Linked DNA regions of Notamacropus eugenii. The protein of the gene in region 2 interacts with the protein of the main gene of each other region in a pairwise test. Links are inferred from orthologs where the notes say so. Each region holds a gene or a part of one and is shown on either strand. Other genes may lie near its edges.

Region 1 (3,746 bases), on a different chromosome or scaffold from region 2:
GATAGAAAGCAGTATTTAAAGTCAAGAAGATCTAGGCTTAAACTCTGATATTAACCTCTCCCAGCCTCAGTTTCCTCATCTTTAAATGGTTATAGTCACTGCTCTTATACCACAGGGTTGCTGCGAAGGTCGGATGAGATAAGATGCCTAAAATGCTTTGCAAAGCTTAAAACGCTCTGTGAATGTTGGCGCTATCCATTACCGCAATGCTAAGCCTGGAACATCACTCATACGTGTGGTGTCCCCCGCTGCAATGCAGCTCCTTCAGAGCAGGGACCTTCTTGCTTTTCTTTTGGTATCTGCAGCTTGGTACTTAACACTTTACTTAATATTACGTACTTAGTACTTTGCACAGAGAAGGCACTTAATATCCTTCCTTCCATCCATCCACCCAAGCACCTACCCATCCATCTGTCCTTCCCTTTCTCCCTCCCTCCATCCACCTTTCCATCCATCTCTCCATCCCTCCACTTACTTACCCACTCCTCAATCACCCTTCCATCTACCCACATCCATTTACCCTTCTATCCATTTACCCATCTCTCCGTTCATCCACCCATCCACCCCTCCATCCATATCTCCCTTCCCTCACCCCTCCTTCCCAATGGTTCCTTTCTCCCCCAGCCAGGGAGGTGCCCGAGGTTGCACGGAGGGGGGAGGGGAAGGGGAGGAGGGAGCGAGCGAGCGAGCAAGCTGTTCATTCTCTCGGTCCTTTTCTCTTTCAGCCCAGGTGGGGCTGGGGAGCACTGATTGGCCGCCCGTAGACTAGAGGCGGGCCTCCTGCGGTTCTCGCGGTCGCTGATTGGTCGGGGCTAGTTTGCGCGTGCCCCCGACCGCGCGTTTCCCGCCCCCTTCCCCCCTCCCTCGCGCCGGCCAGAGGAGGGGGCTGGCAGCGGGTATCGAGAGCCGGAGTGCGGCGCAACGGTCGCCGGGGGCAGGCGCCAGTCTCGCTGTAAGTGGAGGAGAAGGCAGACCCTGACGGGCGGTCCCTCTCTGTGCCCTGGCCAAAAAAAAGAAAAAAAAAGAAAGAGGAAGAGAGGGAACCGCCGCGTGACGTAGACAGCGCGAGGAGACCTCGGGGAGGGGGAGGGGTAACTGCGGAGGGCGGGGGAGGGCCGCCCGCCAGGCCCCGCCCCAGGTATTGCCCCGCCCTCAGGCCTGGCCCTGCCTTTTAGGGGAGGAACCGACGCGAGCCGAGTCCCCACCCCATCACCCAGCCTGGCCCCGCCCCCAGCCTAGTTGCTGTCCGGGGAGCCCGGCTCTAGGGGTTATGGGGGGGAGGGCGGACTCCAGGAACTCCCGAACCCCAGCTTGCACCCCTGTAGCCCCTGAGATCACCTTAACATCCTGGCCCGGGAGCGAGAGGCCATGTCCACCTTCCTCATTTGATGGGTGGAGAAACAGGGACTTGTCCAAGGTCACACAGTGTGTCCAGCCGTGGGACCCTGGGTGAGTTGCTTCACTTCTGCCCCCCTCAGTTTGGCCCCAGCCTCCCAGGAATGTTGTGAGGATCACATGAACTATTTGTAAAGGCCTCTGCAAAGCTTAAAGTGCTAGGTAGATGTTAGCTACCGTTCTGCCCCCTGAGGTCCTGTGAATTTGTTTGTTTTAATTGGTGATATTGGTTTCCTTTGTAATCCTGTCTATTTTACTTACTGCATTTACAAATGTGATTCCGAGCATCACCAGACTGGTCATGCTGCCTCTCTGACTTAAGGATCAACCCCCTGACATTTTCCAGGTAAGGAAACTGAGGCCCAGAGAGGGGAAAGGATTTGACTGGTCGTCTCCCACCACAAATAGCAGAGGGGGCATTTGAACCCAGGTTTTTTGCTGTTGGGTTCTGGGACTCTTTGTCCCTTACTATCTATCCTAAAGGCCAGTGCCTTGGCTGGACTATGGAGATGAATAGAGAGCCCTGGAAATGCTTTTGTTGGGTTGAGGGTGAGGATTGTGGGAGGGCAGTGTTGGGGGTCTTCCTGGAGCTGGGTAATTTAGGCAGGAATTCTTGATCAAGTTATGAAGATTCAAATACTGTTGTTCTGCCCACTCTAAGGTCCATTCTCAGGCCTGGGAAACTGAGGCAGCTTAGTTTGGGAGCTCCTTTACTCAGCTTAGACTCCAGGAATGGTCAGCTTCCTGTTTGTTAGCTTTGTTTTTGTTACAGGGTCCTATTAGAAATATTGGCACCCTACAGTGAGTTCTGGGAAGGATGAAAGCATGTGTCATCCTGCTTGGGTCTCCCTGTGGCTGCCCAGGGGCTCAAGTTTCCTGTGCCTGTACCAGTAACTAAACATAAGAGCAACTGGTGACAAGAGGGGGTGTTGGAGACCTCTCTTTTGCATACATCTCTGGGTTTTGGGGACAGAAGAAGGGCTGCCGTAGGGCAGCTGGTCCTCACTTATTTGGATCCTGGACCCCTTTTGCCCAGTTTGGTGAAACCTATGGCAGCCTTCTCATGATCATGTTTGTAAATGCATGAAGTAAAATACAGAATATTACAATGGAAACCAATTAGATTGAATTAGAGTTATCAAAATATTTTTTAAAAACCAATTCACTGGACTCCCAGATTAAGAACTCTTGTCCTTGGGAGCAGAAATACGGCACTGAATTTTCTGTACCCCTCAGCCCATCTCCTACAGTTGTACTCTGTGAAATCACTGAATTTCATTCGCCAAATATTTGACAAACTCCTCCTTCAGGCAGGGCCTTGGGGATGCAAAGATAGATGACACAGGTCCTACTCTCTAGGAATTACAATTGAATAAGAGGAAGACAGCTCTCCCCACACCTGAGTGAGCTCTAGAAGAGAGAAGTGAGTGTGGAAAAGAGGGTAGGCAAAGTGCTGAGAAACTTGAGGAGGGTCAGTTCAGTTTCTGCTGAGGGTGGGTGGATGGCCAAGGGCAAGGAGGCTCCTGGAGGAAGTTCCCCAGGATTGCGCCTCTAGGGGGAGGCCATTTTAGGCATGGAGGACTAGATTGATGGGCAGCTTGGGGGAAGGGTCTTTTGGTCCTTCCTTTGGTGATGTGGTCTGAAAATGTGGGCTCACTGTGTGTAACTATGTGTGTATGTATGTTTGTATATACACACACACATATATATAGTATATGTGTGTATATGTGCATATATGCATCTATATATGTATATATACATGTATGTGTATACATATATACATGTGTATATCTATCTATCTGTCTGTCTGTCTATCTCTCTATCTATCTATATTCCTAAGGTGTTTGAGAATACTAACTAGGGAGTTCCTGGCTCTGCTGTGTGTGACTGCTTCCCGGACTTGGTGCTCTAGTACTGGGCCTGGAGTCAGGGAGACCTCAGTTCAAATCCTGCCTCAGACATTTAATAGCTCTGTGACCTGGGCCAAGTCATTTAACCCTCTGGCCTCTGGTTCTTCTTTCAGTAAACTAGAATTTCCAGTGAGGAAACCCTTCCCACACCAGTGCTGATGGACAACTGTTCTATATCCAAGGAGAGTTAGGTAGCTTTGGGATTTGAACTCAGGTCCTCTGACTCCAAATTCAGCACTCTCATCATTGCACCAGGATTCAGGCAGACAGAAAGACATTTCTCTGGATTGGGAAGTGGGTGGGAAGTGAGAAAGAGGAAAACACCAGGTGTTTCTCTAGTGTTTGACTGGACTGGGTTGGAGATAAAAGGTCAATAGCTTGAAGGATTGTTTTGCCTAATGAAGTTAGTTGGATTTTTTTTTTTAAAGGATGGAGGAGGTC
Region 2 (3,746 bases):
TAGTATGGATCTTGAAGAATAAACTAAACAATAGTAATTTTTCATACCCCATCATAAGACTATTCTAATCAATAGGGGATGATCAACTTTAAAAAAAGCACCCCTTTTAATTGTTTAACCTATATATATGTAAATATATATTATATACATATATATTTTATTTAGATTGTGCTCCTCTGAGATGTTAGTAGCAGTTAAGAAACTTCTGAAACCTATGTAATTTTCTGAAGTATGTGCTGTATTGCAAACTGTCTCTTGACAATTATATTATCTTTAAGTAGAAAAGTTCACAAACAATTGGTTTTTTAATATTTTTCTTTTAAGATGCATGATAATCAAGTCTAACATGGCTATTTCAACTATATTACTTAAGAGATATTATGTCTACTACTTACCTCCTCTAAATTTAATGATATCCTTTACCAAGGAATGAATTCCTTCTCAAAAAGTTTTAACAAGTCTTCCAGTACTAGATTCTCTGTCCTATTTTATACTAAACAATTTCTGTTTCTAGTCTCATTTTCATAACACCACCAATATTTCCCAAAGTACCAGCTGGACCTAGTAATTTATAATACTTTAAAGTGGGGAGGGGGGATGGCATACGTTTTCTATTATTATGTTCTAATTACAACTGATTTTATAAGTATTATTTAATGGGGTTGTGAATGCCCCAATTCCTCTAGTCAGAAAAACTAAGGCTAGAAAAATGTTTAGCTTACTTTTAAACTAAATTAGGCTCTACAATCTGTTTAGAAGAGTGGGGAATTCGACCTCATTTTAAACATTTTTACATATTCTTTTAAGGATAAGAAAATAAAGTGAAAAAAACAAACTTATCCAATTAACTCGGTGCGATGGCATGTGGACTTTCCAAAGTGAACATTCATTCATTTCACATTTCATTCATTTCACATAAAGAAACTTACAAAGGTTATGACCTCTCTTTACCCATTCCCAGCCTTCATCCCTTGTCAATTTCAAAAAGTAGCAAACTGTCAATTTCATTTCTGTTGTAGTCATGCATTAAGAATCCAGTCCTTACCTACAACTCAGCTGCGGCAATATTAAAGTTCTCTGGAAACCCACATTTCCTTCACATGGGCAAGTGGGGAGAGCAAGGTGGTAATGCTGACTGTGCAGTTCGGCAGCAAACTCAAAAGAGTGGAGGAGGAGGGCAAGAGAGCCAGGTAAAATTGGTCTAAGTTACATACTGCAGGCATGCCCTGGGTTGTCACATCCAAAAATAATCTGGAGTTGGAAAACGACCTGAGATTTGTAACCCAAAACAGATAAACAAGAGGTTGCTATTTCTTAGAAAGGATTTAGCACTGTTTTAAAAAAAAGAAAAGCCAAACCGTAAAGAGCCCAACTCTGCCAGCCCTCAAGAACAAAACAAGAAGAGACCCTGAAAGTGGCCGAGACAAAGCTTGGGGAGGGAAGGGAGGGGGTTCTGCGAGCAGAAGGGCCAGGTCGGCCAAGTGTGCAAGGCGAGGGGGGGTGGGGGTGCGAAGAGGGGTGGAGACGGGAGGAGGAGGGGCCCGGCAGCTGCCAGGGATAGGCCGGAGATGGGCCCACGGGGTCAGAGGAGCCGAGCCGGGGCCCCTGCGCAGGGCCAGGCAGCGAGGAACGGTGATGGTGCGGCCGGGAGAAGCCAGCCAGCCCGCCCGCCCAGGAACTGGGGCGCTTGCGCACGAGACCGGCTTCCGAACTCTGTCCGGGGGCCGGTGGTTCGCGCTTCCGCCCAACCTCCCCCTCCCCCTGGCAAACCCCTCCAGCTCCAGTCCGGCGGCGGGGGGAGGGGGAAGAGGGAGGTTACAGGCCCCGCCTAACGTGCTCCAAAGCCAAACTACGCACCAGCCCCACAGGGGTCCGCAGGGCTAGTGGGGAAGGGGAAGGGGGAGGGGGACGGAAAACTCATTGTTTTCGGCCAGGCCAAGGTCAAGGTTTGGGGCGCAGCGGCTGCAAACCCAGCCCTCCTCCCCTCCCTTTCCTCCGCTCCCCAGGGTCCTAGACTGGAGAGAGGAGCAGAAAAGGGAAGTTTTCTGTCTCCCACCTTTGCCCCCTCCCCAGGTCCGGGCTGCCGTTTCTGAAAACAAAACAGACCACTCCATCCTGGCCGGGTGGTCCGGTAGGAAGACTGCGGAGCGTTCGGGGAGAAGCAAAAGCGCGGCGGGGGGGAACACACATACACACTCACTCACATAGACACACGCACGCACACGCACACACCCCCACCCGAGGAAAGTTCGGAGGCTGCCAGAAGAAGGAAGCGAGGCCCAGATTCAGGCTCCTGCCTCTCCCCCCGCCTCCGTGATAAAGGAGGAACAAGAAAGAACACCTTCTCTCCTTCCTCCGCCTCCCCCCAGCTTACACACTCTCACACATACGCACGCACACACTCACACACACACTCACACACACACCCTCCCGGGCCGCACCTGACACCTCCCGGAGAGCCCCGAGGAAGCCGCCCCGGGCTGGGTCGCTAACCTGGCAGAGAGAAGCCGTAGCGCCAGCGCCGGTAGAGCTGCGAGAGGACCACGAGAACGCCCATGTAATAGACCTTGAAGGCCGGGAGCAGCGGAGACAATAGCGACATGGCTGCTCCCTTCCTCCTCCTCCTCCTCTTCCTCCTCCTCTCCGCCGCGCAGACGGGAGGGGCGGCGGCGGCGAAGTCGGCCTCTCTCCGGGCAGGGACGGCCCGCTCGGCGGAGCCCACACCCAGCGGAAACGAGCGCCCCGCTCTTGCACAGTTCCGCTGGCGGCGGCGGTTCCAGAGCCTGGACGCGGGACCCAGACCTTCACCTTCAGCCCGGGGGCGAGGCCGGAGGAGGGCCGGGGCCCGGGCGCTCCCCACCCCGGCCCCGCCTCCGCCCCCCGGGGCTGGCTCGGGCCGCCCTGGCTTCCTCCAGGTCACCCCAAGTCCGCGCTCGCGAACCTGCCCCCTCCCCTCCTCCACCCCCGGAGCCCGATAGGGTGATTCTGGGCATTGGCCACCAAACAGTGGGGACCACCCCAACAGTGGGGACCAGCCAGCCTTCTTCTCTTTGGGTGTCGTTCCAGGAGACCAAAGAGGTGTTGGAAGTGGAGTTTGGGGGAGGTAGGCAGCCGTAAAGAGAAGCCAGGGGCTGAAGCTGAGGAGAAAGGTAGGGGAATGGGGTGCCGTGTGAAGGGCTGCCTTGGAAAGGTGGTCGCTAAGACGAGAAGGCCCTCTCCTGAGAGAGGGTCCATTGGACACGTCCCTTCAGCACTGGACCGACCTGAGGGCAGGGACTGTCTCTGTGCCCCTTTTGGTGTCCCCAGTGCTTAGCACAGTACCTGGCACATTGAGATCAAACCTCAGCCCTCTCCTTAGAGAGGGTCCATTGGACACGTCCCTTCAGCACTGGACCAACCTGAGGGCAGGGACTGTCTCTGTGCCCCTTTTGGTGTCCCCAGTGCTTAGCACAGTACCTGGCACATTGAGATCAAACCTCAGCCCTCTCCTTAGAGAGGGCCCAGTGAAGACATCCCTTCAGCACTGGACCGACCTGAGGGCAGGGACTGTCTCTGTGCCCCTTTTGGTGTCCCCAGTGCTTAGCACAGTACCTGGCACATAAAAGGTTAGTGACTGATTGATTGATTGAGATCAAACCTCAGCCCTCTCCTTAGAGAGGGTCCATTGGACACGTCCCTTCAGCACTGGACCGACCTGAGGGCAGGGACTGTCTCTGTGCCCCTTTTGGTGTCCCCAGTGCTTAGCA

What was found. The genes of interacting proteins can lie anywhere in the genome.
Region 1: the proteins of ZBED1 (region 2) and LRRC20 interact in binary tests that used the Homo sapiens proteins (3 or more experiments, as listed by UniProt). The two-hybrid records come from large-scale screens. The link is inferred for Notamacropus eugenii from reciprocal best matches to the Homo sapiens genes ZBED1 and LRRC20.

The regions. Positions count from the first base shown.
Region 1 is NC_092872.1:258,715,884-258,719,629, forward strand, and holds the start of LRRC20 (leucine-rich repeat-containing protein 20), read left to right. Parts: upstream 1-1,161; 5' UTR 1,162-1,270; coding exon 1,271-1,449; intron 1,450-3,746.
Region 2 is NC_092876.1:395,061,249-395,064,994, reverse strand, and holds the start of ZBED1 (E3 SUMO-protein ligase ZBED1), read right to left. Parts: upstream 2,619-3,746; 5' UTR 2,603-2,618; coding exon of another isoform or gene 2,494-2,602; intron 2,463-2,493; exon of another isoform or gene 2,442-2,462; intron 1,252-2,441; exon of another isoform or gene 1,046-1,251; intron 1-1,045. Other genes in the region: DHRSX (polyprenol dehydrogenase), read right to left, coding at 2,494-2,602.